Linked DNA regions of Drosophila melanogaster. The protein of the gene in region 1 interacts with the protein of each later gene in a pairwise test. Each region holds a gene or a part of one and is shown in the gene's direction. Other genes may lie near its edges.

Region 1 (9,189 bases):
GAATAATTCACTTAAAGATGGATGTTGGGAAAGGGCTTCTTACATACTGCCAATTGTACCGAGTTTGGAAAAGGAACCACAAAAAAGCGTTTTGCTGACACACCAAATGGGAAGCACACAATTACCGGCCATATTTCTTCCCTGTGTTTCTCTGCCATTCGGTCGCTTTCCTTTTGTGGGCCGAACACGTGCAAAATGTCCAACACGGTGGCCAAATGGGGCCAGAGTAGCAAAAACGCCATAAATGCCCAGGTCCACTTACAATTATTGCCCCAATGGAGGGAGTCGTCGGTGAGTTGCAAAAAAAAAGAAAGAAAAAAAAACAAAAAAGGCCGCTGCCACAGAGGCTGCCCCAGCTATGAAAAATCGAAAGTGGCAAGCCGAGTGACAAGCGTAGAGCACAGCGGTAAAAAGAGTCATGTGCTATAGGCTATAGCCATTCGATTCGATTCGGTTTAGATTCGGATTTGGATTGGTAGATAGGTATAGAGGTATTGGTACTGGTACTGCGACTGGTATTGGGCTTGGGTGCAGCGCAATCTGCGACTCAGCATCTGTAATGCTCGCTGCAGCTGTTGCCAATTCACATTGGTTGTGGTAATCGTAATAACCAAAAGAAACTGAAGAAATCATAAAACGTTGAAAGATGCATAGTATCACTCACTTATAAGTGTAAGGAATTCAAAGAATTAAGCTATATTACATGTAAATAGTTCTTCATTACTCATGCAAGATGTTTTCATATCTTTAGGATACATAGTATATCTTTTTTTGATGGCAAGCTCTATGGCAGTACAATTCGATATGAGGCCTACAATATCGATTGAAATCAGATATATGTACTCCTCAATCATTGATGTTACTACTTGTGCAATATTGTTGCCAATATGAAATAGCTTTGCAGTTTTTCCTTGCCATCACTAAGAGCATGTTGCAATGTCGCCGGTGCGAAGTATCTGATAGATAGATACCGACCGAAAGAGCCGAGCAAACACACACACATACGTATTGGAATTGGAGCAGAGATCAACGAGTCTGCCGCCAGTCAAAGGCAAACATCTGGTTGCGGCACCGCTCCCTTACCACCCCCTTACCATTACCGGAAAATGCATCACCACCGCCCCCCGCTGGGTGGCCAGGTGCAGCCGGTTTCCTGTGCGTTGGCAACGTGTGCTGCCCAAGTCCCAAAACGACGTTCGCCATTAAAAGCGGCAAATTGCTCTGGCTCCAGAGCCTCTGAATGGGTCCAAATAGTGCATATGTACCTATATTGGGGTTGGGATTCTACGGCAAGGAATGTAGGCCTGATGAACTGCAGGCTGGCTAAATGAACTCAATGGATGGATGGATGCCCGGTGAAGGCAACAATTTTCGAAGCTCTCGTGACCAGAAATCCAAATAACATTCGAAAGCTGAATGGCATGAGCTTGCAAGACATTTATAGATATATTTCTAAAGATATATATGTATATAAATACTAACATATGATAGGAATTTATATTTTTAAATAATTTAAGAAGCATAACATCTGCGGTCGCTGAGATTTCGCAAATCCTTTAAAATTCCCCAAACAATTATTTGTTAATTGCCTGCTTTTTTATCTGGTGACACATCTGACCACAAAGTGTGGCCCACTTGAGCTGGCTTAATTGAATTGCTTTTGGTTTGGTCTATGGGCCATCAATTGATTGTTTGCACTCGACACTCACCGCAATAGGAAATAATAACTGACCTGACTGAATAAACACCATAAATATCGGCACGACTTTGGGGATACCACACAAAAAACCAACCGCCACCGCACTGAAAGTGAAAGCTTTTTTTAAGGTTTTTTCAAACAATTAATTTTATAAATACCTTTTGGTAGCTAACAAAAAAAACTGCATAAATTATTTGGGCTTTAGCTGCTGGAGATGGGAAAAGTCTCGAATGAGAAATGATGCTCATCACCTGTTTTCTTTTGATGAATTCAAAGGCGGCGCACATTGCCCCACCCGAATGTCGGTTCAAGTTGAAGTTGAAGTTGAAGTGATGCAATTTCTCTCAGCAGCGATTTCAATTTCTTTCCGCAAGTGAAAAAGACTTGAACTTGGCAGCTGCTTTTTTTTTTAAACCACTTACTCTAGCAACGGCTATGGTCACTATGCGGTTAAGTTGAATGAGTTTCGAAAATGGGTGTAATATATGTTGGGTATGAATCAGCTTCTTTTCCTAAATGATGACAGTTCAAATTACAATTTCTACTTTTTAACTGAGTTTTTAGATACATTTCTTTAGAGCAACTTCAATTCGTTGTGTAATGAAGCCCAGTTTTGCTTACATATCTATGGCATTTCCCTGGCGCAGCCGCATTTCAACGACTCTCAAATTTGCATATCAATGTGACTTTGAGTAGCTCTGCGACTGTGACATAACCACCTGCTGTCATTTTAATTTACTGCTAATTAATTTACAGGCCGGCCGAAATTACATCTAGCCAAAGACATAAAGACTGAATGGGATCTCTGATTAATTTTGATGGAAATTGGCAAGCGAACATGTGAGGTGAGCTCAGACCGAGGATCAAACCCGTTCGAACATGCTGGCAGAGAAGCGCCAAAGACTTGTAACTTGGCTCAAACCGTTGGCCAAAACAGTTGAGCGCCGGTCGAAGAAGCGAACACAACGCGGTTGCGCATGCGCGTAGATCATGTGCCGATCGGACGTGTTTGAAATTTACAATTCACAAATTGGCTAAAAGAGCGTTCTATAACCATAAAAGTGCTCTGTGACAAGTGACCGACGGCATAAAACAAATTCAAATTTATAACCAACACCAAAACCAAATAAATAACAAGGTGAATGAAACTGCCCAGAAAACTGTGTCAAAAGCAAAGAAAGTTGCTATTTTTTTAGTGTGGGCAGGCTGCCAAGTATCTTTTTAGGTGTATCTTCAGCTCCGTCTGATGTTCGTTTTCAATCTTTTGCGGGCTTGTCGAGATTGAGTGATCATCTGCGTGGGTCTGTGCCACATAAATTCGAATGCATCTCAGGTGTAATGTAATGATCACCATTTTAGGGCACTACGCCCAGGTATGCGAGAGAACTGTTCTTCTCAGGTGATTCATGATAAAAACTTCTGCTCGTCTCGCATACTTTTTTCAAAGGTGCGGCAGAAGATGTGACTTTTTAAATTCATTTTACCCTGCTCTCGATTGGTTTGATGTAAATCCACAATTGGGCATGATATCACTCGAATAAATATTTATATATTTGAATACTTAGCAAGGTCGATTGGCATTTGGCAAACGTGTTTCCAGTTATTTTGCATTATAATCCGATGTCGAAATATTTACCTTACCTTTGCATAATTTGTGCTGAATGAGACATGGACAGGTTGTTAATTATTACCTTAATTGAAATATTCGGAGAAAACCAAAGTCAATCGAATAATATTATGGAGGTGGGCAAAATTTTGAGTAGTAAAATATAAATAGTGGAATATCTTACCAGTTAATATTTATAAAGAGTGTTTGTGGTTGCTACCTACAAACCTACATTTATCTTAAATAAGTTTATTTTTAGTATACTTAAATTTAATCTTTATTTAAATATCCCATTACGGTCATCCGTCTTAATAGCATTTAATAGCCCGGATTTGCACAAATATTGATAGTTGTCTTTTATTTTAAGCCTAACTCAGGTGGCCAAAACCACTATCAATCACCAAACACGCTAACAAGCCCGACTGATTACACAAAGTAACTCGACGCGAACTTGTCACATTTGATATGCAAATGGCCAGAAGCCAAAGTCAAAGCGGCACTTTACGCTGAAATGAATCTGAATCCGAAATTGAATCTGTATCTGAGGTTGACCGGGGCAATCAGCCAACCGCAGTGAAGGAGTGGAAGTGCCGTCCGAAGATGCCAATTAATTAACAGGGTCTTAGGGGTTTTAAGTGGTTCCATATCCACGAATGTGTTTGCATATTCAACTCTAATTGCGTCTAAACACTGCGCATGCAATTAACTTTTCACGGTAAAGGGCCACGTGGCGCATACGTAATGCGATTTTCACCCACCAAGAACATTTATTATTCTTATCAATTTATTCATCAGTTATCTAGAATAATAACTGGAATATCAAGTATAGAGTGCAGAATTTGTATGCCTACATTGTTTGTTTTGGATTGACTACATTTTGGAGTTCCTTTAAATAATAAATAGCTTAAAAAACAAGCCCTAAACCATTTTCACTCGCGTGCAAATCACTGAAAGTGCATTCAGATGGGCTTCTGTGTGCATATTTTGTTTTGTTTGGATATATGCCATAAAAAGTTTATAGACCCTGAAAGATACACAGATAAACGATTTCATTTGCGTGTCACAGCCAAGTCACGTTGTTTTATTTTTTTTTCGCGGTACAGTTTGTGTATTTTATAAAAAATATATTCCCATCGGAAACCTTTTTTCTTGATCAGGCCATACAAATGTTAATCGATAACCGAAGAGATTAAAACAAACCAGGCAAAAACAAAACCAACTCAACATTTTTATGCAAATGCACAAATCACAAATGCCTCGAAAAGATTGCGCAAAACCCTTTTTTGAAATGGGCGTTTTATATTGTAGAAATAATTAAGGGGAAAACCCCGGAGAAAACCAAAAGCCTATGTAAAATATCAGCCGAAAAATTTGCCTAAAAATTTAATTTAATATTTTTTAAGGTATTTTTTTTAACTTTGCGGAAACAGATGCATTAATATTAATATTTTCTGTGCCCATTCATGCTTTTCATTCAGATTTCGGTAGAGATTTAATCGAATGAAAGAAATGTGAACCGTTTTTCGCTTATTACATGTTGATATTGTCTTTTATGTTAAATAAACTCTGAAATGAATATGCAGTTAAAAAAAAACTGAACGTTTTTCATTTATTTAGTTTTACAATGGAAAACTCGGTGTATTTTAATTCCATTTCGATGGCACTGCAACTGACAAGCCTGATCGAAAATCTAGTTAACCTTCTCGACAAAATGGAAATTTGTGTATTTTTTGCATGGCACTTATTCCACTTGATTTTGTATCGCATATTTTTATAAATTTATACAGTTGCCGACGGGCTCCATTTCAGATTTTAATTAAATAGTTTTTTGTTTTTTTAATGAAATTTGATAAGTAAAGCAATTTGTTTTCGATGCCCGAAACGGGTGGATGGGTTTTTTGTTAGTTTTCCTTTGACGTAAACCAGTCTGTTGGCTAATGGAATATCTCGGCTTATTGGCAATTGGAATGCCAATTGATTGGCCATGCTAAGTTATGCAGATCCATAAACCGGCTAATGGTTGCAATCTGAAGTCGTGAAGTGTAACACCTGCAAAAGATATAGCCAAGCCGGTGTGCAATTTTAAGCCGGCATTAATGCCGCGGAAAATTCGCGGCCAACGCCGAAGAACGGGTTCGATTCGTTGACGGAAGAGTTTTCAGTATTGGCCACAAAGTGCGTTGCGTAAGCAACCAGTTGATGCACTTGCTCATGGCTTTCCCACACCACGCGCACCATCTCCGCATTTTCCCAACCAATATTTATGTATTTTTTCTTTGCCTTTTTTTCTTACAGCATGCGTGAACGCAGTCAAACGACCCCAAGAAGGCGACGAGCCGGTCCAAAACAGGCCTTACCTGGTGGCAGCTCCTCGGAGGGAGTGGGCGCCCTGGAATCCCCCTATTATACCATTGACAACACGGAGGATATATATGGCACCACGCTGCTGCCCTCGCAGCGCTGCTATGTGGATCCCTGGGATCTGGAGAACTATGATTATGTTCGCAAGAAGATCGATGATGTCACCGGTGGCGGTGGTGGTGATGGTGATGGTGAGGCAATTGAACCTGCCTACGGAGGTGGTGGCAACTCGCTGACGACCAGTCCCACATACGGATACGGAGTGGGTGCCGCCGGTGCGGGTATGGGTGTGGGCATGTCGGCCACAATGCCACGCCCCCACACCCAAAGTCGCCGGGTGTCGCGTGCCCAGTGCCAACTTGAGTGCTGTGTGCCCCAAAGGACTCGTCGCCGTAGCCGCAGCGCTCGCAAGGAGCCACTCTATACGGCCAGGAGCGATATTTACGGTGTGCCCAGCCGCTATGAGGACTACATGGCCACCATGACCAGGCAGTTGCACCTGGACAACGGCGAGGATGAGGAGCCGGAAGATCTTTACGGCGAGGAGCAGCGGCAACTGTACAATGGCTTTGGAGGTGAGTGAAAAACGCAAATAGCAAATGCAAATTCGAAACCCCTTTAAAACTAGATTTTAATTTAAAATTCCTTTTGTTTCGTAATAACCAATTTATTTAGTTAGCTTTGTATGCAAATCACACAAATGCATTTAGATTTCATTTTCGATTCCATTTGATTGTTACAATTTACGCAGTGCGTCTTTTATGGCAATTCGATTAACGTTTAATTGCAAATCTCTGGCAAAATCATTGATTTTTGAGCTTGACTAATGAAATTTGATTTTCTGTACTTGGGGATCATTAATTACTTAGTATTTGTTATATATTTTGATTACTAATCCTTTTCAAACTATATGTAAGTATAAATGTTTTATTGATTTTAAACCCATCGAGTGCTTAAATATAAATGTAGCTGTTGTAAAATACCAAATGATTTTGATAGCTTTCACTAATGCCGTGTAATCTCACACGTTTCAGGCTTCTCCAGCACCAGTTCCACGGAGCATCCCTCCTCCATTGGCGATGAGCAGCCCGTTCTCCAACGACGCGCGGCCACGATGCAACGCCGCTCCGTGCCCAGCGAGATGCAGCGGAGCACCAACATGGTCGGCAGCTATGGAACTGCCCCCCATCCGCGGCGCAAGCGAAGCGGTAAGGCGGCGCCCATGGCCGCTCCGCCGCAGATCGATTTCCCCGCACCGCCGCCACTTTCGCCCGCCTACGACTACTGTAATCCCTATGCTTCACTGCCGTACTGCAGCATACCGGATTGCAGCGAATGCCAGCAGCAGATCTATGCCGCACCCTCCGCCCTCTACGGAACCATGGGCGGCTTGGTGGGTGGTGATGGCAGTCGGGTTAGGGGCTCATCGCCCCATCATTCCAGCGGTGGTGACTCGTCGCTCTACTCGGGAATTTACGCACGTAAATTCGGACTGAGCAAGAAGGGTCTACTGCAGATCGACTACTCATGCAGTTGGAACGATCTGGACAGGGTGATGCAGCGCCATTACTGAGATCCATGGGGCCGCATCCACGTGGATCTGGGATTTGGGTGCTTGGGTTAGGCTAACTACCAACACGTTTGCACCAATCGCGAACAGAAACCTTATTGTTATTTAAGTCATTTTGCATTACAGATACAAACACAAACACATACACACACACACACTGAAGACCAAATAACTGAAACATGTTTGTCGTAGATATATAGTGTTTTCATATTCATATTTACCGAATAAACATTTTGAAGTCAAGCATTAAGGATTTGTAGTTATTATTAAAACTTTCAAGGTATGAAAGTTTAAACTTGGCTATATGGAGAAGAGCTAATAGTTCTCAATAAAACTTAAAAGTAGAGTAAGACTGAACATAAGATAGTTTCTTTATTTCTTATAATTATAGATTTGTTCATAATATTAGCAAAGTTGAAGTCACTAATTAGGCAAAGCATTCAGAAACAAATAACTTGACTTGGTGACAAAGAAAAGTTCCTCTTTTTCCACTCTAATTAGTTGTGACGTCACTAGGCGAATGTTTCATGTTTGACAAAATGTTTGCGGGGGGAGAAATGAGAACACGGAAATGGTTTTAGCGCCGGACTTTGATGAATGTTTTGAGAATTGTCAAGCCTAAGTTAGTCGAACAAATGGCAAATGCGGCAGGTGTACGAACGAAATGGGAAATAAGTGACAGCAGGAAAGTTTTTAAAGCACACCTTTCGGTGTTGAATGGTGGAAAAATCCATTAAACTTTTCGCCAGCAAAGTGGGAAATGCAACTTCAGCTCGATTATCTCGGCCGGAGGTGCACAAATACATGGAGAGCGACCTGTTCAAAAGGGAAAATCAATAAGGTAAATAAAACGGAAAAGATTTTCCTCTATCTCCTTTGCTCTTGCCCCCTATTTCTCGCCATCCGCCCGCCTGCCCCCTTTGCCGCTGAATGCGATTTCAATTTCTCAATCCAATTTACCTTTGCAACACTGTATACACATCAGTACACAGACAAAAAATTTGTGTTGAAATGTATTTCAACTATAAAAAAGCAAAAAAAGGCAATATAAAACTTTAAAATCGTGTCATATTTTAAACATAACCATTAGAAAAATTTCCAAAAAAAACCTTTTTAAAATTTGATGGCAATTTGATATTTAAAAATATAAAGTATTATTATATATATAATATATTTTGGTTAATGCACATGCAAACCAGTAGTTCCTACGGAATTTTAAATAAAACAAAAGCAAATTTAAAAGCCGACTTTTTGTTTTCAGTGTAGCAATTTCAATACCAACACAAACACAAATACGAACCAAAGTACAAACACAAAGCACAAGTAAATCATAAAAAGCAGCAACAACAAGCATCTGCAAAGCGAAAATCTGAATGCACAAAAAGAAATGGGGGGTGGTGAAATGTTCCAAGTCGGATGGAAAAAAGAGACATAAAAAATGAGGAGCTAAGGTTTTTGCTATGCACATAAAAGCGCAAATATTTGCGCAACATTTTCGTCGTCGTCGTCGGCGATAAAAATCGAACAAGAAAAATATGCAAAAAGCTGAACAAGCCGGCGGGGAAATAAAAACGTCGCAGAAATAAGCCGAAGAATATAAAAAATATATATATGTATGTGTATATTAGTGTGGGTCCCTCTTTTTTACCGGGGATTTGCCTTTATTATTGTATAACGTCAAACATTTGCATGCGGCGACGCCTAAATGTATGCCACACTTTGTTCACCAGCTGCCACACCCCGTCGAAACCACCCCCCCCCCCTTGATCATCTTGCCCCCCACGACCACTTTTTGCCACTTTTTGCATTTGCATTTATGTGCGGCGCCAATTCGAGCTGCCACGCCTCCGGCCTGCGCCTGCCTACCCCTGACTGCCCCGCCAAACAAATGCAAATCGCAGCGAAAATATTTCGCACTTTCACGAAACTGAGTTGAATACCTGGCCACCAAAG
Region 2 (7,404 bases), on another chromosome or scaffold:
CTCGGTGGCGGCTCAGGTGGACTTAGCCCTGCATCAGCACAGCCTGCGCCTGCTGCTGATTGGCGGCTGCTCGGCTCCAGGCCAGCAGGCCGTTGGCAGCAGCCACCTGTGCCTCCTCCTGATCCTCGAGCGCCTCCGGATCCACCTGCTCCTGATCCTCCTGCTCCATCTCCTCTAGCTCCTCGTCAGCATCCTCGTCAGCATCCGTGTCCTCCATGTGGCTGGGAGTGGTGTTCGTCGTCGTTGCTGCGCAGGCAATGGGCGCCACAATCACCGAGGTGGCCACACTGCGTATACGCACCGGCCGATTGCTAATTGTGTTGCTGTTGGCGGTGACCGCATACGGATGCGGTTGTTGTTGCTGCTGCTGCACCGGGCCACCGTAGCGCTTGTTGGTTTTGATGGTCAACGACGAGGGTAGCTGCTTGCCGGCAGCCACCTCGGCCGCCAAACGCACCACTGTGGTGGTCATTTTAGAGGACGTTGAGGATGTTGCTGCCGGGCTGGGAGTTGCTGATATTGCTTCTGGGTTGGGTGTTGCTGTTGCTGATGCTGATGATGATAATGCTGCTGATGATGCTGCTGTTGCTGCCTTGGACTGGTGCGCCGACGCCTGGTTTGCCGCCTCCGTCGACGACTTCTGTCGCTTTCAGTCGCCGAAGCGACTGCACGCCTTCTTCCACCGGCACTGGGTGCACCACTGGTCGCGTTTCTCCATGCCGTACACCTTGCGGCACTTTTTGTTCTCGCCACGCGTCCTCTTGCCGGGCGAATGGGGCGTATGCTTGACGGCTACCTGTTGCGCCATGTGCTGTTGCTGCTGCAGCGGATTGCTTCCGTTGCTGTGGTTGTTACTGTTGTTTTGGGCAACCATGTTGCCGGCAGTTGTCTGTGGATGCTGCTGCTGGTGGCCGCGCATCGGTTGGTGGTGGTGCTGCTGCTGCGCCGGATGGAAATTGGGCGTGATCGTCACACTGGACAGGAGATGTTGCTGCTGCTGTTGGTGGCTGTGTTGCTGCTGCTGCTGGTGGTGTTGCTGCTGCTGCAGTTGCTGCTGCTGCTGGCTGTGGTGCGCCGTCACTGTGACGTTCTGCTGCGACAGCTGCTGCAGCATGTTGTTGGCACTGCTATTGCTGTGGATCACTGGACTGCTGCTGCTGCTGCTGTTGCTGCTGCCGCTGCTGCCGGCGTAATTGTGGTGGTGCGTGTGTTGGTGGTGCTGCTGTTGCTGGACGTACGTCGGCGATGGATATGGCGCTACCGAGTGGGTCGGACGGGAGGACGACGAGCGAGCGTGCTTGCCGATCGGCGAGGCTGATGAACTGGCCGCCACCGACCCCGTCCCCGTGGAGGAGTAGCTGCCCACTGTCGCCGTCGCCGCCGGGCATGTGTAGTTGTGGTGGGCTAGGTGCGAAGTGGGGATGCAGCTGGTGTTGTTGTTCTGCAGCTGCTGCTGGTGGGTGCTCGGGATGTTGCTGCCACTGATGGTGCGTCCGTGCGACTGCGCTAGATGGTTATAGTGGCTACCGCCGCGTCCTTGCCTGGAAAATCGAAAAAGGATAATGTCATTAAATGTATCTATATCGTGCACCAAGAGAACCCACTTGAAGTTGCCAACAATCTGCTTCTGGTACTCGGGATCCTCGTGCGGCGGACGCGCCATGTCCCGGTGACTCAGAGTCGGCTCGGAGGCCAGAGTGGGCTTCACCTGCTCGACGTCGTCGTCGGCATCCTCGAGGTAGAAGTCCTCCTCATTTCCGTCATCATCCGCGGAGCGATGGGAGTCCTTTCTGCAATGCCACCGAAAAATAGCGAAATTGATTAGAAGGATGTGTCAGTGATGGCAAGTTTGCTTCAGTTATGTACCTAGGTTCGGTATTACTTCAAATCAGATTGATAGCTTTTAAATTAACGAACTTAAGTTGTCTAACGTTGTTTATTCGATTTAATTCAATTCAAACAAATAGGAAAAATATTTTAAAATGAATGCTAAAAATTGCTGTTAAACTTTGGTCAATATTTATTAAGGTACCTCATTTAGGTACCTACTCTCCATTTCAAGCGACCGCTTTTTTGTACTAGCGTTGCCAACTAGCCGACCACCCACATTAGGTTCGAGGCCCTGCTAGAAGTGTTCCAGAGTTCTGAACCTTGATTCTATCCACTTAAAAAACTATATTATTTCTTTTTACATTTCTTTTCCCCGCACTATTTTTTTTCAATTATATTTCAAAATGAAATTGAGATTGATGCAAGCTTCCTTGCATACAATTCTTTTGTAAATCTCACTAGACTGAAAAATCGCTTAGTCTTAAGGTAGTGCGCGGTAATAATCCTATCGAAAAGCATCGGACTTGGTCCCACCTCTAGCCTCAACTATTTGTTCCAGCTCTAGCACTTTTTGCAAAAAAGAACGCATGTTCCGTGTGAAATCAATACGAAATCAACAAGAGCGATCGATTTTGAGTAATCGTCCGAGTTGAAAAGCAGCGCACTATATAGTTCCCAGCGCCAATTAATCCAGCTGCCCGAGTCACCAGCCATTTTGTGTGTGGTGGAAAATTTTGCAGATAGAAAAAATTGCGCGTCTGTCTGTCTGCATCTGCGTATCTGTGTGTGTGCGTGTGCTAGAGTGTTTGTGTGTGTGCGTGCGTGCGTGTGTATAGCGAGGTCTACATTGTCAATTAACAAGGGAAAAAAGACGCTTGTGGTCCTGCTTTGTTCCTTTGCCTCTTTACCCTCCAAAAAGCCAGCCAACATGTCCAGCCTGCGACCCGAGGAGGCCCGAAAACTGGCCACCGCCGCCTCCGTTTCGCCGCTGAGCAATTGCCAATTTTGCGGCGTGGTAATCAGCTCGATTGCCGACGAGCAGAAGCTAGAGTTTACCAACAAATACAAGGGAAGCTGCACGCTGCTCTGCAGCTACGATTCCCAGGGTGTCGTCCTCCGTGTTGTGTCAGGTAAAAGAGGACATCGAATGTTTCATAAAACCCGTTCCTTATATCGCCAATCTCTCCACCAGACGACGACCGGAGCCACGTGCTCAAGGAGTACATGATAGCCGCCGATACGGATGCCGCCCAAATGGGACGAAGGAGTTATGCCGTTTCCCTGGACGCCGACAATCTAGTGCTGAGGTTTGCCAGCGAGCAGGACCAGCAGCTCTTCCGCAAAGTGGTGGAGAACGTGAAGCACTTGAGACCCAAGTCCGTGTTCTCGCAGCGCACTGAGGAGTCGTCCGCCTCGCAGTACTTCCAGTTCTACGGCTACCTCAGTCAGCAGCAGAACATGATGCAGGACTATGTAAGGACAAGCACGTATCAGCGGGCCATTCTAGGCAATGCTGTGGATTTTCAGGACAAGATCGTCCTGGATGTGGGCGCCGGCTCGGGCATTCTCTCCTTCTTTGCCGTGCAGGCGGGAGCTGCCAAAGTGTACGCCATTGAGGCTTCCAACATGGCCCAGTACGCCCAGCAGCTGGTTGAGTCCAACAATGTGCAGCATAAGATCTCTGTGATACCGGGGAAGATCGAGGAGATCGAGCTGCCCGAGAAAGTGGACGTTATCATATCAGAGCCTATGGGCTATATGCTGTACAACGAGCGCATGTTGGAGACCTATCTGCATGCCAGAAAGTGGCTCAAGCCGCAAGGAAAGATGTACCCCACGCACGGCGACTTGCACATAGCACCCTTTTCGGACGAATCGCTCTACTCGGAACAATATAACAAGGCCAACTTCTGGTACCAGTCGGCGTTCCACGGCGTTGACCTTACCACGCTGCACAAAGAGGGCATGAAGGAGTACTTCCGACAGCCCATTGTGGACACCTTCGACATCCGCATATGCATGGCCAAGTCGGTGCGGCACGTGTGCGACTTTCTCAACGATAAGGAGGACGATCTGCATTTGATAAGTAAGTACCCGAAAAAGTGATTTGCGACAATGGCCAACTGTTGACTTTCCGCAGGCATCCCCCTGGAGTTTCACATTCTGCAAACTGGCATCTGCCATGGGCTGGCCTTTTGGTTTGATGTGGAGTTTAGCGGCAGCAGCCAGAATGTGTGGCTCTCAACGTCGCCCACAGCGCCTCTGACACATTGGTATCAGGTTCGCTGCCTTCTGCCCATGCCCATCTTTATTAAGCAGGGCCAGACGCTGACCGGCCGTGTCTTACTGGAGGCCAATCGGCGGCAGTCGTATGACGTGACCATCGACCTACACATCGAAGGCACGCTGATTTCGTCGAGCAACACCCTGGACCTTAAGAATCCGTATTTTCGGTACACGGGGGCCCCGGTCCAGGCACCGCCGGGGACTAGTACCCAAAGTCCATCTGAGCAGTACTGGACACAAGTGGACACGCAAGGATCACGCAATTGTAAGAACAAATCCTTGATATAATAATCTCATTGCTTATGTGATTATAATTTCTATAGCTTCAAGCATGCTAAATGGAGGGATCAGCGTGAACGGAATAGGCGAAGGCATGGACATCACTCATGGACTTATGCATCCGCACTAGGGGGGCGGTGGATCGAATAACAATACATCTTTCTGGGAATTCCCTTTGCTCTAAGTCCGCTCACTTTCTACGCTTGATCCTAATTTTGCCAATTTTTGTTTTGTTACAGTTTATGATTAGGTTATTTATTGAAAAGTGTAAAATATTTTTATCTATTTTCGAAAGTTAGTTCTGTTCTGTTTTGCATACCTTTTAACAACCTCTTTCCCTATCGTGCTATACTTATCCTCCCTTCTCTTACCCATTTAATCGATCGGACAAATCGAAGGAAATCCAGCATCCCAGCAAGTAACCAACATACAAACAATCAACAAATCAAGGCAGACTAATGTAGTTGTTTAGAACACGCAGCATATTAATAAGCCTAAGCTAATTTAAGCCCATAGTAATTAGAGTTTTTAACGTATGTGAATTGTAATACCGATATTTAGCCCGCACGGGACTGCGCTTCAGGAAGTTTATTAGTTAATATGCCGATTGCCAATTGCAGATTTTGCCGTAAGCTTTGAACAAACCAACAAATTCAGATTGTACTGTATCTATTATGTGTGTTATTATACTATATATTGTGTGTACCTCCAGCTAGTTTCAATTTTTGTACTTGTCGACCGTGTTTATGTTTAGTTCGTTTCAAAATGTAAGAAATTGCTCATAGGATTTAGTGCTAAGCTACGATATCATTACTAAAGGCCGACCTGGGTCGAGAGATTATACTTATACCCCCAATACGATTATGATTAATTCAGTTCAGTGGAGGCACACCTCGTTCGATCCTAAGTTACGCATCCAAGCCCAGATCCTGTCATAGACCCAACTATATCGCTGCCAGCAAGCCGAGCGCTATATAAGCATATACACCTAGATATACGCGTTAGGTACGCCAACCTATACACACCCCGACATTCTCGCATTCGTATCCTGTTTGCGGACTGTACTTTATAGAGCAGCAAGTAGAAACACAAAAACACTACAACACCCAATACACTGCAAACATAAATATAAAGCAAAACATATACAATTATATATATATATATATATATACGAATAGATATACCGCATGTATGCAGATGAGAGAACAATGTCAAAGCAAAAGCAGCAAAAAACAAAGCCCCACCGCGTCTTTTATTTGTGCACCCCCACTTGGAACCCCTCTCGATTTACATAGGAAACGAGATTGGCAAGTGTCAAAGCTCAGCGCGGATCGTGTGTGGGCGCTTTGAATTGGACCTTGGCCTCAAAAGCGCCACCACCACTGCACCTGCCACCCACTGCTGCTATTGCTGGCCTGCTGCTGCAGGTGCGCATTGCAAAGTAATCTGCGTGCTGGAGAGGGGCTACGCCGCACTCGTGTGACCTGCTTACTGTGCTCGAGTGCTCTACTTTCGAGGCACCACCAACACCACCTTCAGCACCCGCTCCGGGCGTGTGGAAGTGCTGGCGGGGAAGGAACGAGAAGGTCGGGTGGCTAAGTCAAGGCCCCGCCCACTTGCTGCTCGCCACCTAATCCTCTGATAGCAGTGCCATTCCCACTTGTACACTTACCCCAAATGTGTTTTCCTAATGTGACGCACGACTCCATTGAGATCGTCTACCACGCCAACACATCCTCGATAGACGCATCGGAACTTTTTGGACTGCAATGACAAGAGAAGGTGATTCTGATTAGATTGATTACATATTACATATTATTAGTTTGCTCTTGAATATAAATATTAATTAAATATATCCTTTAATATCTAGCGTACTTGGCGGGAATACGGCTGCATCACTGAATCCTCGGAGGAAGACGTGGAGGAGCGCGAGCAACTATCCCCCGTGGGACTGTGGCGACCGTAGCCCTCGTAGTCACTGCGCTCCACGTAGTAATTCATTGCCATAGTGTGCATGATGGTGGTTCTGCAGCAGCTCTCCAACTGGCGGCTCTTTAGCGGTTGCAGTCGCAGCTGTGGAGCAGTAGCAGGAACAGGAGCGATTCGAACCGGTGCCGGCCCGGTGCCAAGTGCGACTGTGTGAGTGCGGACAATGCAACTGGCTGGCTGGCTGGCTGCTTGGCTGAAAGCCAGATTCGAAGTCCTTGGACTCCCGAGCGGCAAACGATGCCGCCCGAACGAGCTGGCTGCCTGGCTGGCCATGCTCGATGCCGCCTGCACTGATAACAGGGCCCGGGTCCGGTACGCGTCCTTGCCAACTCCCCCAGCCGACCACCACGCTGCTACCCGCTGCCACCCGTGCAGCCCCTTATTTACTGGGTCACCTTCCGGTCGCTTTGCTCCGTTTGTCGCTCGCCTTGACACGCTTTTGGCGCCCAGCTCTTGGCGTTTTTATGCGCCTGCATTTATGCTGCGTTTTTATGCTGAAGGTTAGGACAGCGCTGCAGCAGCGACGCCGGCAATTGACCCAGTTTAAGTATGCTGGCTCACTGTATATATATGCCCGTTTATATCTATATACATATGTTTATTGCACGGTTTTCGGGGGTACAGCAAACCACTGATTGCGTCCTTGTGATGGCAAATGTTGTCCTTGTGCGACGACGACTGCTGAACAAATTGAAAACTGAGTTTTCGGTTTCCCGTTTCGGCCTTGTGGGCCAAGTGATTAACGATTTGTTTACAACTTTTGTGGTTTGAGAATGCCAGCGAGCTTCAATTGTTATGAATTGCAGTGGTGTGCCGCCATTTTGGCCCACTTAAGCTGAGTTTGCGGAGGGCGCGCACATGGCGTATGCGTAATTTGAGCTGAGAGCAGGAAAAGCTGAATGCCATTTTCGGGGCGGAGTCTGCGAACCGCAACGCAATCATAAACATAAATATCCTGCGCTACTTAAGCGGCGTAAATTGTTAACGCACGTGGTTGCCAGGCAGTTAAACAAATGCGTA
Region 3 (9,528 bases), on another chromosome or scaffold:
ATCTATAACACGTATTATATTGAAGGAATACCTAATTAATTGAAAATGCATATCTTTTTATTAGGAGCATCCCAAAGGAATCGGAAAATATAAATATTTTGTTTTTCTTAAATATTGAGAATTCAACTGTATGGTAACCAATCATCAAGAATTCGATTTTCAATGTGAGATTCGTTTAAATAGCCGAATATTCCAACTATATATGCATATTTACGAAAAGTAAAATATAAATGGAAAAAATAACTTCCGTCATTTATCTCAGTGTCTTTCACATGTGACTCATCTCCACGAGCGACTGCCTCCGAAAAGCTTTTTCAGCTTTTATGAATGAAACAGCACGGTGAGCACTAACTATCTGTGTGTGTGGCTGCGAGCTATCCATTTAAGACCCCACTCCCACCCATGCGGTTGGGGGGTCTGAATCAGCGTACGATTCCTGGAAAAAGGATAATATCCTGCGCCGGCATTTGTTGTGGCATTAATTTCCACTGCGGCAGAGTCTCAATGCCGTGACTCACTTGCTTCGTGCTCAGCATTCCGGAGCAGCTTTCACTTTCCGGGCGGAGGACCTCTGACATTCAAGACGGCTTGTTACGCGGAATTTGATAATATTGCTGATTCACCTTCTGGGGAAATGGGGGTCAGTACAGTTGATAATTGAATACATCGCTTAAAAAGTGGTCGCACGTTAGATAAGGATTTTTATGTTTTGGGTTTTTCAGCTAATTAAACCAAATTATTAAATATGAACGATGAATAGAAAATATAATTGTCACATTATTTGGAAAACGAAATATTATCAGTTTGAAATACATGCGAAAGAACCAGGTAGTATTTTTATAATTTCATGACAAAATTACAAATAAGTACTAAATGTTCCTATTTTATTACTGTGAAAAATTTATAAGTAAATAAGAATAAAAATAATATTAATTAAAGTTGGATGGTCGGTGACACAAAATCCACATGCTTAAGTTCTTCCCAATACTACGTACATATGCATAAAAAAGGACTTTCCGCCATTATCGTAAATCGTTATCAAAACCACACTGGCACGAAGGTCATGCCACCTGGTAAACATACATACATACATAAGTGCACGTGAGCTAAGCGCAAATAAATAGGAATTATGTCAAATGTTAGTATTGAAATTCCACATCAATTGCCATCGCCGCCCGTGGAATTGGAGTGGGGGAATTGCGGGACTAAGTCAACTCGCAATGTCTTGATGGCACGAACGTAGAACAACAACCCGGTTAATGGAGTCCAGACATCGATCAAACAATGGTGAATGGAGAAGCTCCCACTCCCACAAGGCCGGCAACCAATTGCAGCGGGTTTTCCACGAAAATCACGCGATATTCGTCCAGTCCCGCGAGGTAATTTTTAATGGATCCTGCCCCCTTATAAGCTGACACGTGCTGGGGCAGTCATTTTCATGTACATACACATATGTACATTTGCACCCCGTGTATACGACATTATTGATTTTTTCCGGTTGTCGGACTTTCGCCTTAAACTCTTTGAACTTCCTGTGGCACGTGTCCTTGACAGCGGTGGGGCAACTAACCCAACAATGTTGTCGGTGTCCCATTCAATGTGAAGGTAAGAGCGAAGTTGCTACTTACCCCCATAGCTACATGCTAAGTCACTAAAATTTCTTTCAGTGTACAGCTAACCACGCCCCTGCCCCAAGGTCCTTGCTCAAGTTGTGGCAGCCAGTTCGTCTGGTATTTCAGTCAATGAGTTGCATAAGCAAATCGACGATTTTAAAAGAGCCATCAGCGATTTACAAAACAACGTAAAAAATAATTCTTTAAAAATGATTGTACACAACAAGTCTATATGTACATATGTATGTACATACATAGATGTGTGTGCAAGATCTATATAATTAAAAAAACAAACACATAACAAGCTAATAAAACAATATATTTTTCCTCATTAAAAATTGATTGATAAAGACACAGTTCCAGGAAATCTGTGCATATACTCCATTAAAAGCTATTTACATTTTATTTTACGAGAATAAGAGAATTTCAAGTAATTAAGTTTAATAATTAAATAGGAATAAGGGTATTTTATAAGTGAAAGGGTATTTCAAGGACAGTATTGCTTTCGACACAGTAGGGCAACCTGAAAATCCTTGAGAACCATTCGAGTGTGCGTGCAAATCGCCAGTTAACCCCTGATGTCCTTGGCCGATTCCACGTATTTGTTGCGAAAAAAGCAAGGAAAGCTAAAGATTTAACTTTTATACACTGAGGTAGCGTTGATTAAAACTTCATTATATTTCCAGCCTTTTTTCGAAGTGGCAAACTATTCAGTAGGGAATGTAAGGCCAATTTTCGTATATTTTTTAATTTGGTATAGCAAACGCAAACGCTATACAAGAAAATTTAAGTTTTTTTTTTAACACTTTAATACACGGCTGAATTAATGGATAGACAAGGTGTTCATAATAGCTATGGGTCAATAGCGAAAGACGCAATAGATGAGCAACGGATGGTGCTATCGATGCCACAACTGTCCATCCAGAGGAAATCCGTTACAAGCATGAAGTTATTCACCATGGTGGTGTTGCACTCGTGGCGCCAACGCCGAAAGGAGGTTCGTGAACTCAAAGAGATGGTGCAACACCTCCAGGATAGCGTTAGTATTGATGGTTTTAACAATTTGTTTATACGAATTATACGTATAGGATTATGTTACTCACCACTTTCTTCCAGTCCATGAAGACCAAAAACGAACTGCACGTATGTGGCACATTGATGCGTGTGGAGGAAAAACGAAACAGGGAACTTCAAATAAAGCTTAAGCTATCGACGATGAGCATTGACCAAGTAAGGTCCTCCTGTGAATCTCTTGTCAACTCGGTCCGTGACCTCACAACAGAGAAAAGGCGATTGGAAACCGATTTGGAACAGCGCTTGCAGGAGGTTAGTAGAATTATTTAGGATTATATGAAAGTACTAAACGAATTCATTTTTCCTTCAACTTAATTAATAAGTATCACTTCTTCATACTAACAAGCATACTTTTTGCAGCTGTGTCTATATTATTATAGAAAATTGATATAAATGTTTCCTAATTTGCAGTACAATGAGCTGGAGGAAGTATCTGACAAAACCAAACGGCTGCTCTTCAGCGCCTACGTGGAACAATCTAGCCTGCAAAAGCAACTAGCTGAGGAGCAGCGTACGACGCAGAGATTGCAGGCGGAAAAGGACCAGCTAATCCAGGAAGTGATACTGGCGGAGGGCAGAGATAACAAGTACCGCCAGGTGCGGGAATGGTACCAGCGTGTACTGCACAAAAAGGAGGTGTGCATTTACAACCTGGGAAGGAGATTGCATATGCTGGAGGAGCAACTGTTTGACATTAATGAGTAAGATTATTTATGCTCATGCTCATTATCGTTATACTTTCCCATCTGTATAACGAATAACACAGCACTATTACAATAACAATTTCTTTGCATTACTGTGCACTTTAATGTACACTTTTAAGCGCTTTTATCATTTATTGCATCATGTCGTTCCTTTTGACATATCACCCACTCCTGTAATCGAAGGGCAGCAGCTTCTCGGTAATCCAATTTGTAAACTTGGACACCTCCGTATATATGGCCGGAATGCCCTCCTGCCCGCACCCAACGCCCCAGTTTACTATTCCAGCCTGCTCGTACACACCAGAGTTCTCCCCTCCGATTGAACAGAATAGGGCCGATCCTCCATCACCGGTGCAGGTATCGCGGCCTAACTCGCCTCCGGCGCAAATGATGTTCTTGGGCAGCTCAAATTTAGCGCCCAACCTGGTCGACCTCAAGAACTTCTCGCAAACATTTCGATTTACCACGAGCAACTGAACTTTCTTCAGGACGGTGGAGTATCGTTGATCCTCGTATCTCATTTTTCCCCAACCGGCCACCGTGCAACGACGTCCTGCGAACGATTTATTTGGTGTAGGCAAACAGATAGTTCTGATGTGATCATTCAGTTTGAAGGGCGAATTTAGGAAAAGTAACGCCAAGTTGTTGGCACCTGATTTGAAGTCAAATCCTTCATGGATTACTGCCCTTTCAACTTCGCGCTGCTCAGACAAAAATATCTCTCGATCGGATTTTAAGTCCCAATCGCCGGCCCTGACCACAAGTTCGGTTTCGATTGTAATTACCCGGTGAGCTACTGTTAGAACGACATTTGGTTGAATCAGGGATCCGCCAGCCAAGTACTGTCCATTGTGAAAAATAGCAACAGCCCAGGGATATTGAGCTGGTCGTGCTTGATCAATGGTTATTCCTTCTACCATTTGCAAGCCATTTGCGTTGCTCATGCCGCAACTTGGTGACAAAAGCTCTGAGCTTCCAACATTGGTAGTCGGGTTCCCTCCGTTGTTTGTTGGATTTCCAAAATTGGTAGTCGGGTTCCCTCCGTTGTTTGTTGGATTTCCAACGTTGGTTGTTGGATACCCACCGTTGTTTGCTGGATACCCACCGTTGTTTGCTGGATACCCACCGTTGTTTACTGGATACCCACCGTTGTTTACTGGATACCCACCGTTGTTTGATGGATACCCACCGTTGTTTGATGGATACCCACCGTTGTTTACTGGATACCCACCGTTGTTTACTGGATACCCACCGTTGGGTGTTGTATACCCGCCGTTGTTCGGTTCGGTTGCTGGATTCCTTTCGTTGTTGGTTGGACGCCCACTGAAGTCGTTGATTTCCTTTACTTGTGACTCAATGGTATTTGGGCGATCTCTAGTGAGTTCGCGTGTAGGCGATAGTTGTGCATTTATTCCGTTTACTCCAACCTTATCATCTTCGGGGCCATTTGGTTCAATTAAAACCGTACCTCCAGGCTTTTATCCGTCATAGAAAATTTGCACTTAGTCAAGCTAACAATAAATCGCATTCAACAATTGTATAAGCTTACCTTTCGTAGAACTGCACAGCAAATTTTGGTATTGCCGCAATTACTGGAGCGGTAATCAAATGTTGGTTCCTCATACAAACAAAAATTCCGGGTAACGCAAGTATGTCGACAGGCATTGCCCATAAGGACACTTGCTAAGAGTAGAGTTCCGATTGCCCAACAATGCTTCATGTTTGCTTCAGAAAACTGAGTGAACGAACGGCTGGCAGTGGGTATCATTATATTTCTTTGCTGAGCAGCTTAAAAGCTTATCAGCCGACAAAGATGTATTCGAAGTACATATGTACATGTACATATGTACATGCATATGCACATAAATTGTGTTATTCCCAAAGATTGCACAGAAAACGCTTAAGTTAAGAGATTGCGAAAGAGATATTTCCGAATTCTTTGGAAATATCCATTAAAGTTTTCAAAAAAAATGTTCAGATTAATTAAACTGGTAACGATCATTCCCAGGACTATACATATATATCTCACAGGATTTGATACGCTTAATTCTAGCTGTTACATACCTTTTAACTAATCGAGTTATGTATCTACCCTTTACCTTTTCGAGTAACGTGACCTGTATAACACGTAATAAAGTTTCAATATAAAAAAAATTTTTTTTTTATGTACGCATATATAAAAAAAAAACATAAAGAGGAAAGAACTACAAATATGCGTACAAAAGAATTATCATCTGAAATATGTACACATTTATATACATAACACTGACCTTAGGATGCATGGATTATCGCCGAGTGAAATGCCTATTTTTTTTCCAATTTGGGATTTTCCTAGCCACTGTCGATTTGTACTATTTTTCCTATTTTTTTGTAAATATTTAAAGCTATATAAATGCAACGCTATATATTCAGCTGAATATTATGGACATCGATTTAAAAATCTTTGCTAATATCGTCTCAAAAACCTTTTTTAATGAAAAAATTTTTAAATTTGATTTTGATTAAAAATTCATTTATTTTGTATATTTATACAATAATGCATAATCACAATCTTAATGAAGAATTGATGTAATAATCTTTAAGCGTTAGCCAAAGTATGCTATCCTATTATAAATCCAACTTCTGAACATTGCCACATTGGTGTAGATTCCCGGGAGGTCCAATCCACACCCCATGCCCCAGGCGACGATCCCAGCCTGCTCGAAGACGTGTGGATTCTCATCTCCGAGGGAGCAGAACAATGCATAACCTCCACCGCCAAAGCAGAAATCCCGGTTTATTTCACTTCGGGCGCAAATCAGACTCGGATGAAGATCAAAATTCCTGCCCAAAGTTGTATTTCTAAACTGAGCCACGCATGTCGTTCTGTCCAACACGGTTAACTCTAATTTCTTTATAATTCTCATACGGCTTTGATCATGGGAACTCACCAAGTCCCAACCGGCAACCGTACAGCGACGTCCCTCGAACGACGCTTGTCGGCTTGGCAACGTCAATACTCCAATGCGATCGTTTAGCACGAACGGTGTTTTTACGAAAATAAGAGCCACATTATTAATACCCGACTGAAAAATGAATCCTTCATGTCTCACAATCCTTTCAACAACGCGCTCCTCATACTGAATGGGTTCATTTGTTGTGTTCATGACAAACTCGCCGGCCCTAACCACAATTCTATCTTCATTCATTTTGTTCATTGTGTTGTGGGCTGCCGTTAGGATCACTTTTGGACTAATTAGTGAGCCGCCGGTCAAGTAAACTTCTTCGTAAAATAGGGCTACCACCCAGGAATATAGACCAGTCGTATTGCACCTGCCTCCTGGCTGTGTCCGTTCAGTTGGCTTTGGTTGCTCAGCTTGCGCACCATCATTTGTTGGGGCGCCCGATCCTTTAAGTGGCCAATAAGTAATGGGTACATCAGGTTCCGTAGAAACATTGTTTTGGGGCTCACTTGAGACTGTTGGTCTCGTTGGAAAATAGATAAAGGTTGGTATGTTTTCCTCTTCTGTAGAAGATGACTGAAAAGTTGAAAATTTAATATTAAACAGATTCAATTGCAATTTAAAATAATAAGCATACTGCAGACTCAGAATCGGATTCCTCATTCGGTCCGCTAGGGATATAAGGACTCTGCAAATTATGAAATATTAATTCCAAATCTGCGTACAGGGATTCTAATCAAAATATATACACCTTTATGATAATGTCACAACAGACGTGATTAAATGGGCAACTATTTAGTTTTCGACTTAGTATTAAGCACTTCTCCATAGGGACACAATACCTACAGGCTTCGCCCGAAAGGACGCAGAATAAAAGAATAGCTGCTGTGGCCACGATCGATCCCATGTTTGCTCGGGATGATTAAATTGACTGAGAGATAGAGCAAGCTTTCCGATGCTTTAGTACACTTTATATTATATTAAGTCTTATCAGTTACAAAAAAAAAAAAAAACAATATGTGAAAAGGAATTTCTGTAAACATTTTTCGAAATTTTTTCATAATTTTATAAGTCTTGTAAATTTTTATCGATTTGCAAAAAAAAAGCTTTTTGCCACGCCCAATCTAACGAGATTTCGCCGCCGAAATCTAAATTTTTTCTCATTTTATTCCCAGAATAATGATGAACTTTCGCATTCGCATTCACATTAGCTGAGTAACGGGTATCTGATACTCGGGGAACTCGACTGTAGCATTCTCTCTTGTTATATTTTTATCGTTTTGTTTAAATTATATGCTATAATTATATGCTTATATGCTATAGGCTAATCTAATTCTTATTCACTTTCCTACTTAAGGCACACTGGAGAATTGGAACAATTGCGTGAGAGTGCTCAACAAATGTCGAACGAAATCACAGAGTTGCGCCAGGAGATCAACCGAAATCGCAACGGTGTCTTCGGTGATTCCTGCTGTCGCCTCGGACTCGGACGCCTCCACGACCATGTGATTGCGCCCTTTCAAGGCAACCATATCTGGATAAAACTTCGACGCTATTCCTTTAACGTGATATATTTGTTTGCTTTGTATCTGCTGCCTGGAATGTCTCTCAAATATCGTCAAAACTAAACCTAATTAAATAAACTTTCTATAAAAATATTTTCAAACAGTTACCAAATTAATGTAATCCCCAATAATCCCCCAATAATTCCCCTATTATGGGGGAAGAGTCACAGTGCTGTTTGCGTTGGAATCGTTTGTGGTTTTCTGAAACCTATGTTAACATGCAAATGACTATTGTTAACTTGCTTAACTTTTTTTTTTTTAGTGTAATGATAAGGTAAGCCTATGGTGGGTGTTTGTAGAGCTTGACACAGAACTTTAAAACATATTTTAGTCATTGCAACTGGGTCTTTAAGGTTCTACTTAAAGGAAATCAGCTAGAAATTTACAAATTATAAATTAAGAACTTTAAAAGTAATAGAGAGATAACTTTTCCCTAACAAATGCGTAAATAATTAAATAATATATAAATAATAAATAACAAACAGAAATTGAATACGCTATCAATGCCTTTTTTATAGGCTTATTAAACTTTGGCTTTAGCAATTTTTGGAACGTCAATTAATATTGATAAGCTAAACAAAAAAATGTATAAGGTCGTTTCTGGGTATTGGTATTGGGTAGGCTAACACTAGAATATTAGAATACTAATATATTTTATACTCTTATTGTTAAATAAAATAGTTGGTGGCCTAAAAGAACACCTACTATACATATACATAAGATATATTAAGACGTCACTTTGAACGGCAGTCCACGTAGTAACGAAGCGCACCAGGAGTGTACGAAGGCTTTGATGGTAAAATCATAGTGATACACGAATCGAAAGATTGTTTTTTTTTTTACCTTTTTAAGAAGAGTTTTTGTTTCATTTTATATATAACGCAGATTCCAAAAAATAACATTAAGAAAACAATCTAAGCTCATATTTGCTAGTTTGTTTATTTTCACATATTTTGCAATGAGTATTTTGTATAATTTATATATATTTCTGGGCTATCCCTTGCACACTCGGTTGCATTTTTCATATGTCCACAGTTACCACATGCAAAGTTATTGCAGTTTGCCGGCATTTTATCATAAAACTTACATTAAATATCCTTCAAATCTTAAATTCAATTGCTTCACTATTACACTCATTCGTAATCCATCGTTTGGGAAATAGAAAACTATTTGCTTTGCTTCCACTTTACTTCGTTTCTGGCTATCCATAATCTCTAATTGAAATACTCTAGTCTCGAGTTAATTTTATGATTTATGTAGTACGCATATTGGCTATCAATACTTTGGCTTGTTGGATCGATGTATGAGTTGAATGTGATTCTCGGACTTTTGCTTGGACACGAAACTTAAAGTGAGTTGTTTCATTCGTTCGTTATTGGTTCAGTGAGTTGCGTAAATAGACTTTGTATTTTTCATTTGTTCGCAAAAAGGGACGGTAAAAATTACAATAAAATCATTTGAAATATGTATGCAACTTGTTTTGTTCGCTTGCTTCTTTCTCATTCGAAATATCAACTGACTTCAATGTGTATATAAATATATTTACAATTAATTAGATCCTCGCTTTTCTGGCGCGTTGCATACTTTTGTATAGGCAACTCCAAAGAGTTAATATGTGAATGCAATGAAT
Region 4 (6,741 bases), on another chromosome or scaffold:
GTCAGCAAGCAATGGCTAAAAAATGGCAAAACAAATGGCCGGTGTCTCATTAATGCCACACAATGGTGGCAGCCAACGGCGTCCAAAATATGCAACATTCATCAATCACACAGCAAGCAAGCCAAGCTGACCTAAGCTGATGTACACTGGAAAAAATGTATTAAAATCGATACAATAGAATTGCAACATTATTAGTTTGAATGGTTTTAATTTTTTTCTGATCCTAAACTTCTTTTATTCGTTTAACTAGCTGAACATCGTGTTAATATTTCTATGATGAATGGAATTGAAAAATATATACTGAAAAGTTATTTTTCTCAGTGTCAATTGTTTGAAGCGTGGCGCACTCTACTGGCCAGCGAATGAAAATGAGTTCACGCGCTGCACTTGAGGTCGAAAATGGTCGATGGAGGAGGGGCGGGTACGGACGAGGGGCAGTTGGCGGACCGACTGTGTGCGGATTGATTTGCTTGGCGCATTTTCAAGTCAATTACACATATTTGTGGCATTTGCGGCAATTGAGTATGAAAACTCATGCGGTGGGTCGTTGCAGCAGTCGTAGGTGTTGGCCGTCTGTCTATTTTATTTGTTTGCGGCTGGGTTTGTTTGCCAGTGTGCGAATGTGGCATGCCACAACAACTCGCCGCATGTGTCCGCCCACCAAATGTTGAGGTTTTTCGGGGCTGACCAAGTGAGTCACGTTGGCAGTCGGGGCGAGCCACATATAACTGCATATATAGCCATAACTCATGTCCCAGTCGTTGCACAACGAACTCGAGAGCAATGGTCAACTGAGGGGTTAATGAGGTATCTCTATTTAAACAGGTAATAAGAACAGATAAAGAATTTTACTCGTTAAAACGAAAATGATATGTGCAAGTGTCTGGTTAATGAGAAAAAAAAGAACTCACTCAAATGCAGTTCACTCATTTTCATCAAAACGGGCAACAAGGTGTTAATTGCTCTTATCAAAACAGCTGATGGACAAAGCTTTGATCAGCCGAATCCCAACCGAAGCTTTAAAACAAAACAAAGGTGTGATAAGAAAGCTCAACAGGGCGCATGCGTAATATCCGGAGAGCGAGAGAAATGCCAGCGAAAGCTCAGTAACAAACAAAGTGATGTCAAGATGGGCTGAAGGGCGCCAGAGAAAAGGGGTTCCACAAAAAGTTACTCATATTTTGTTTACTACATGAGTAGTTACAATCGTGTTTATTCTCTGCTGTTTGGTGTATAGCCGGGAAACGACTACGTGAGAAATTTATTTAGTTGAGTTTGGGAAACTTGTGGTGACTGCGAAATATAAGCTAGTAACTGTGGGAACTGGTCACATTTCCGTGGAGGAAAGTGTTCAAATTGCAGTGGTTCGCCCAATTAAATAGTTTATTTACTCATTAAATTATGTAAAATACGAATTGCGGCGAATTCAAATAAACTAATAACTATCAAAAGAGAACTAACTAAAATTTCCCAATACAGCAAAATTTATTAAAATAGGTTAGTAATAACTAAATGTGTGGGTTCTATAACAAGCATTTTAACACAAAGGCATAAAATAGCAAAACTAAACATATATCAAAAATTTAACGACCGTAAGAAACAATAAATTTTACTAAGATACAGTTATTGACCACATTCGCGAATATTTAAGTGAGTAAATATAATGGCTAACTTTAAATTTTTAGAAAAAATAAGTATTTTTATAAGTTTTTTAGCTAGTTCTTCAAGAGAAGTTTATCTAATCGCTTCTGTTTACACATCGGTAAATATTCCTAATTGCGGCGCCCCGAGATCTGCCATAGATATAAACCAGATCCACGAGCCCATTTGTCGGGTGCATTCCTTGCACAGATCATTAATCACCTGATCGAGTCGATCGGTAATTCAATCCACTGCATATATCGAAGACAGAACTCTGGTATTTATTTAAAGGCGTGTTCCCTTATAGACTGCATTCCCCGCCCAGTGATTGCAACTATTTATAATACACTCCGCTCTCCGCCAACAAATATATCCGTGCACATACGAGTATATCTAAATTTCATCTGACTGTGCGTCTTTCGGTTTCGCACATGAAGATACGTAAACAAAAGCGTATCTTCTCGCCCCCGATATAAACAACAAACAAATAGATATATTTTGTTCTCCCCAAGCACTCTCTCAGTTAGAGAGAAATTTCTGCCCTATAGACGAACTCAATACTTCTTCTGTCGAATGCTCAACGAATTTTCTCCGCTCATTCGCCCGCATTGTGTGAGTGGCCAAAACAATCAAGTGAAAGCGCTGAAATTGTATTGTGGTGCGCCCAGCGCATAGCTCATAAACAGAGAAAAACAAGAAAACAAAAAAAAAAAAGAAGTCGCAAAGTCGGTGAAAAACTTTCGTCGGATACTGTGATACTGTGATACTACTGTGCTGCACAAGAGCAAAGTGCACGGCGCACGGCGGAGAGAGAGAGTTCGCAGCTCCGAGTTCCAAGTGTCAAGTTCCAAGTGCCAAGTGCTATCTGAAAATTATTTTACGGAACTAACGCAGACCCCGGGGCCTCGAACTCAGTTTCAGATTCACAGTCAGCGTCAGTCGCATGCGAGAGTTGCTGACGGGCGGAGCTGAGAAAAATTCGGAATCGGAATCGGAAAAATCGGTGACGAGACGAGAAGATATAGCACAGACGGAAACTGAAATCCCCGAAAGAAAAATGTGCTAGAGAAGATGTGCGAGTCTGCGAGTGTTCGAGTACATAAATCGCAGCGAAATCAAATGAGTTTTATTCAATCAACGAAGAAAGTCCGCCCACCAACGGAAGTGCTATATATACGTTTATTGAGTCTGCCATCTACGACATCCCGAATAAACTAAGCGAAAAGGTAAAAGCGAAAATGTGTGTGTATATGTGTATATGTATATGGGGGGAAGTACACGCCTTTTTAGGTGCACTTTAGGTGAAATGCTAACTACGAAATGCTTGAACCCCTTAAATGGGGAATGTGCATATGGGAAAGGTAAACTAAACTGAAAGACGGAAAGTGTGATTTGCCAGACGACAACTGGGGTTTTTTTTTTCAGTCATCAGAAGTGGCAGCGCAAATGTGCGCTGGGCTTTGGGCCAACTTTGCCTAGGGTCAACATCCTTTGACCCAATTATGGCATAGGAACTGCACAATCTCTGCTGCCAATTGGCAATGTTGCCTTCTGTTTTGTTGTGGTTCCGTCTGGTTGGCTGGTGTCAAGCCGTTTATAATGCGCCTCAATTTCCGTTTGCCTTTCTTTTGGGCCTGGCCTAAACGCATCCCCAGTAATAAACCCCCTCTCTTCCTGCCCTCCTATTATCCTTGCTACTGACACGCCTCAGAGTTTTGCAAGCGAAAAATTATGAATAGCTTGTGGGGTGCGGAGGAGGGCAGGACATTGGGGCTTTGGGATAAGGACTCAGGGGACTAAGGATATATGCGGGGGCGGTTATGCGGGTGTAGTTGGTGGTGGGCGCGGCAGAGCAGGCGCACTCCTTGCAACTCTCTCGTAAACTCTCTCTAGCGCGCTCTCTCGTAAACTCTCTGGACGAGGACTCCAAACCCCAACCCCAAGGATGTGCCTAACCTACCTTTTGTTGAATTTCATAGTATGTAGTATGATAAACGTCGTAGGCAGCAGTGTGAGTGTGTGTAAAACCGCTGTGGGAGTGTGTGTAAGCAGGTGATTATCTGTTGCCGTCGTGTATTTATCTCATTGAGGCATTCAAAAGTGGAATGCATACCGCTTTTGGGCGCTTTTAACGTGCTTTATCACGTTATATGGCGAGTCCTTAAAGTCGGGACTATGGGCATAATATTGAGTCATTCTGCGCAATATTTAGCCCAGTCAGTCAATGGTTCATTCAACAAGTGACTGATTCGTATCTGTATCTCACATTTCACATGTTGCAAAAACTGTAAATTTTTATATATTAACATGCCAGCGGAAATAGCTATAATTAGTAAACACTTGAATGATGACGAATTATGCGGCTATTATTATTTTCTAGCTTCAGCTTTACATGAGTTAATATTTCAATGGTTGCTGGAAAGTGTTAGTAAATGAGTAATGGCTTGAAATTTATTTTATTTCATTGCATATATTAAGAATTTATGGAACTCCATTTATTTGGTTTCCACTGTCACATTGTGAGCAGACATTACTGGCTTTATCTGCATCTCGCAGATGCAATGTGAAATGTGTCACGTACATATCAAAGATACTCGAAGATATTCCAGCGCGTGAAAAGCACTTCATCAGGAGCAAAGCTCCACTCGACAGCCTCTGACTTCCAATCCCTCCACCAGACCACCCACCATCCTGCTCCAGCCTTATTGTGCAATTTTTTTTATGGCAAGCCCTCTGTCGATTGAGAGCTGCGCGTGAATGGGTGGTTGGGTGGTAGGCTTAAATGGAAAGACGGGCTAAAAGTCATTAGGGCTAAGAGGAGAAAAGGCGACCCGCAAAGGCCTGCGAAGCCACAAAGCCGAAGGCGTTTTAATGAAGCACACTTGACAGTCATAATTCATTTGCAGCAAATCAACTCAGGACAGGCAGACAGACAAGTCCCCTACCAAAAGGTTGGGTCTTGTCCTTTAGCGATGAGGAGTGCAGGGAAGTCCATTAATGGAAAGCCATTAGCACACAGGAAGAAAACGTTGTCCTGCAACTTAAAAGGGTGTGTTTCTTGTCCTGAGTTATTATCATCAAATTATATTTAAACTGTTGGTTTCATGAAATTTTAATAGAAATATAAAAGATATATTTGGATATATATTATTAATGTGAATATTGTTTCTTGTTTCAGCCTCTTTTTTAACAATGGGCAAGGATCAGGAGTTCCTGGAGGCGGCGCGCAATGGAAACATTTCGCACATCGAAAAGGTGCTAACACAGAAGGCGAAAAGGGCAGGACCGCTGGCCAGTCTGCGTCGTGGCACCGGGGTAAATGTCCAGGACAGTGGTGGCTACTCCGCCCTGCATCATGCCTGCCTGAATGGCCATGAGGATATAGTGCGTCTGTTGCTGGCACACGAGGCCTCGCCAAATTTGCCGGACTCCCGGGGATCCTCGCCACTCCACTTGGCCGCCTGGGCTGGTGAAACGGAGATTGTGCGGCTCCTGCTGACGCATCCGTATCGACCGGCCAGTGCCAATCTGCAGACAATAGAGCAGGAGACACCACTGCATTGTGCGGCTCAACATGGTCACACGGGAGCACTTGCCCTGCTGTTGCATCACGATGCCGATCCCAACATGCGCAATTCCCGGGGAGAAACCCCTCTGGATTTGGCCGCACAATATGGCCGATTGCAGGCGGTTCAAATGCTTATACGTGCCCATCCGGAATTGATAGCACATCTGGGCACCGAGGCCTTGGAACGGGGCACACCATCACCATCGTCGCCAGCATCGCCGAGTAGAGCCATCTTTCCGCACACCTGTCTGCATTTGGCCAGTCGCAATGGGCACAAAAGCGTGGTGGAGGTCCTATTGTCCGCCGGAGTTAGTGTCAATTTGCTAACTCCATCGGGAACTGCACTGCATGAAGCAGCTCTGTGTGGCAAGGAGAATGTGGTCAGGACACTATTGAAAGCTGGCATCAATTTGAATGCCACAGACAATGAAGGACGCACTGCCCTGGACATTCTGCGCGAATTTCCACCGCATGTCACCAAACACATTGTGGCTGTGATCAACAGTACGTATGCGTAATTTACTTGCACATGCTCTTATGACATGGTTTTATTTTAGTAAAAGTTTCATATGGTGTTCACTTCATATAAGTGCATTAATACTACGTATTAGTGCAAAGTAATATATAAGCAAAGCTGACCCGATTTATACCTATGTAATTATACAATGCAATGCAGATAAGGAGAGGTCTTTTGTTGTTTATTTTCTTGAAAGTCATCACATAAGAATGCATGTGTATATATATCCATTATATTTGTTGATGAGTATCATCCAATGTATCTCTTCCTTTTTCCACAGACTTCCGTAACCAAATGGATACAGATGAGGGCGACGAGGTGATCTACAGGCAACACTCCGGACCACCCAATTCCGGACGTGGCCAAAACAAGCACCATTCGCAACAACAGCCCCCACTTAGCAATCACTACCATTTCAACTCCAACAATCACTTGCTGAATCATTCGCACTCCATGCAGCAATCCGGATACAGTAAACAGCGCCTGAGTGCCGGAAACGGTGGACCCTACAACGGAGGCAAGTCCTTGGACAGTGCCCTCCAGCCGGAGGATCGTTTCTACCAGGATCTCAACGCACACTCCCCACTGCATAGTCAAAAGTGAGTAGAAAGCTTCAATCTTTATACAATTTACTAAATATTTGTATATGCAATTCTTAGTGAAATGGGTGGTGGCTACAGTGTGAGTCCCTCCTCATCGCTGAGCAGCTTTGAGCCGGCCTCCGTTTCGCCACGATCCCGCTGCTCCACTGGTGGCCTTGGCCAACCCATGCATATGAGCACATTTGCACCGGCTGGTCCTCCAAAGAAGCCACCAAGACGCAACCTTTCCGTTTCGCCAACTCACGCAGGACCTGGCCAGCAGTTTAGCTATAGCTCCCCATCCAGTCAGAGCCAAAGTCAGAGTCATGGCCATGGTCAAAACCAGGTGCGCCGCCAGCCGGCCAGCGAAAGTCCCTACTCCCATCAGAGCCATGGAAGTGTTGGCGGTATGAGTTTCGATGAGACTCAGTTGA

The links.
Region 2: the proteins of CG8854 (region 1) and Art4 interact in a two-hybrid assay, tested with the Drosophila melanogaster proteins (one large-scale study listed by BioGRID).
Region 3: the proteins of CG8854 (region 1) and CG5050 interact in a two-hybrid assay, tested with the Drosophila melanogaster proteins (one large-scale study listed by BioGRID).
Region 4: the proteins of CG8854 (region 1) and CG4393 interact in a two-hybrid assay, tested with the Drosophila melanogaster proteins (one large-scale study listed by BioGRID).

What each region holds. Positions count from the first base shown.
Region 1 is NT_033778.4:12,222,756-12,231,944, reverse strand, and holds CG8854 (uncharacterized protein), read left to right. Parts: upstream 1-2,634; 5' UTR 2,635-2,837; intron 2,838-5,098; exon of another isoform or gene 5,099-5,600; 5' UTR 5,601-5,601; coding exon 5,602-6,241; intron 6,242-6,700; coding exon 6,701-7,239; 3' UTR 7,240-7,484; downstream 7,485-9,189.
Region 2 is NT_033777.3:9,981,034-9,988,437, reverse strand, and holds Art4 (arginine methyltransferase 4), read left to right. Parts: upstream 1-2,377; 5' UTR 2,378-2,758; coding exon 2,759-2,960; intron 2,961-3,022; coding exon 3,023-3,916; intron 3,917-3,970; coding exon 3,971-4,381; intron 4,382-4,439; coding exon 4,440-4,525; 3' UTR 4,526-5,622; downstream 5,623-7,404. Other genes in the region: Glut4EF (glucose transporter 4 enhancer factor), read right to left, coding at 650-1,541, 1,605-1,790, 6,068-6,159. UniProt on the Drosophila melanogaster protein: Methylates (mono- and asymmetric dimethylation) the guanidino nitrogens of arginyl residues in proteins. May methylate histone H3 at 'Arg-17' and activate transcription via chromatin remodeling. Coordinates ecdysone-mediated expression of cell death genes.
Region 3 is NT_033779.5:17,450,786-17,460,313, forward strand, and holds CG5050 (uncharacterized protein), read left to right. Parts: upstream 1-2,138; 5' UTR 2,139-2,439; coding exon 2,440-2,652; intron 2,653-2,729; coding exon 2,730-2,939; intron 2,940-3,098; coding exon 3,099-3,388; intron 3,389-3,477; exon of another isoform or gene 3,478-3,552; coding exon of another isoform or gene 3,553-4,866; intron 4,867-4,940; coding exon of another isoform or gene 4,941-5,111; exon of another isoform or gene 5,112-5,138; intron 5,139-5,884; exon of another isoform or gene 5,885-5,976; coding exon of another isoform or gene 5,977-6,909; intron 6,910-6,970; coding exon of another isoform or gene 6,971-7,021; intron 7,022-7,084; coding exon of another isoform or gene 7,085-7,240; exon of another isoform or gene 7,241-7,259; intron 7,260-7,690; coding exon 7,691-7,961; 3' UTR 7,962-7,990; downstream 7,991-9,528. Other genes in the region: SPH93 (serine protease homolog 93), read right to left, coding at 3,553-4,866, 4,941-5,111; CG18563 (uncharacterized protein), read right to left, coding at 5,977-6,909, 6,971-7,021, 7,085-7,240.
Region 4 is NT_033777.3:23,380,626-23,387,366, reverse strand, and holds the start of CG4393 (uncharacterized protein), read left to right. Parts: upstream 1-2,589; 5' UTR 2,590-2,867; intron 2,868-4,545; exon of another isoform or gene 4,546-4,690; intron 4,691-4,819; 5' UTR 4,820-4,833; coding exon 4,834-5,713; intron 5,714-6,006; coding exon 6,007-6,325; intron 6,326-6,385; coding exon 6,386-6,741.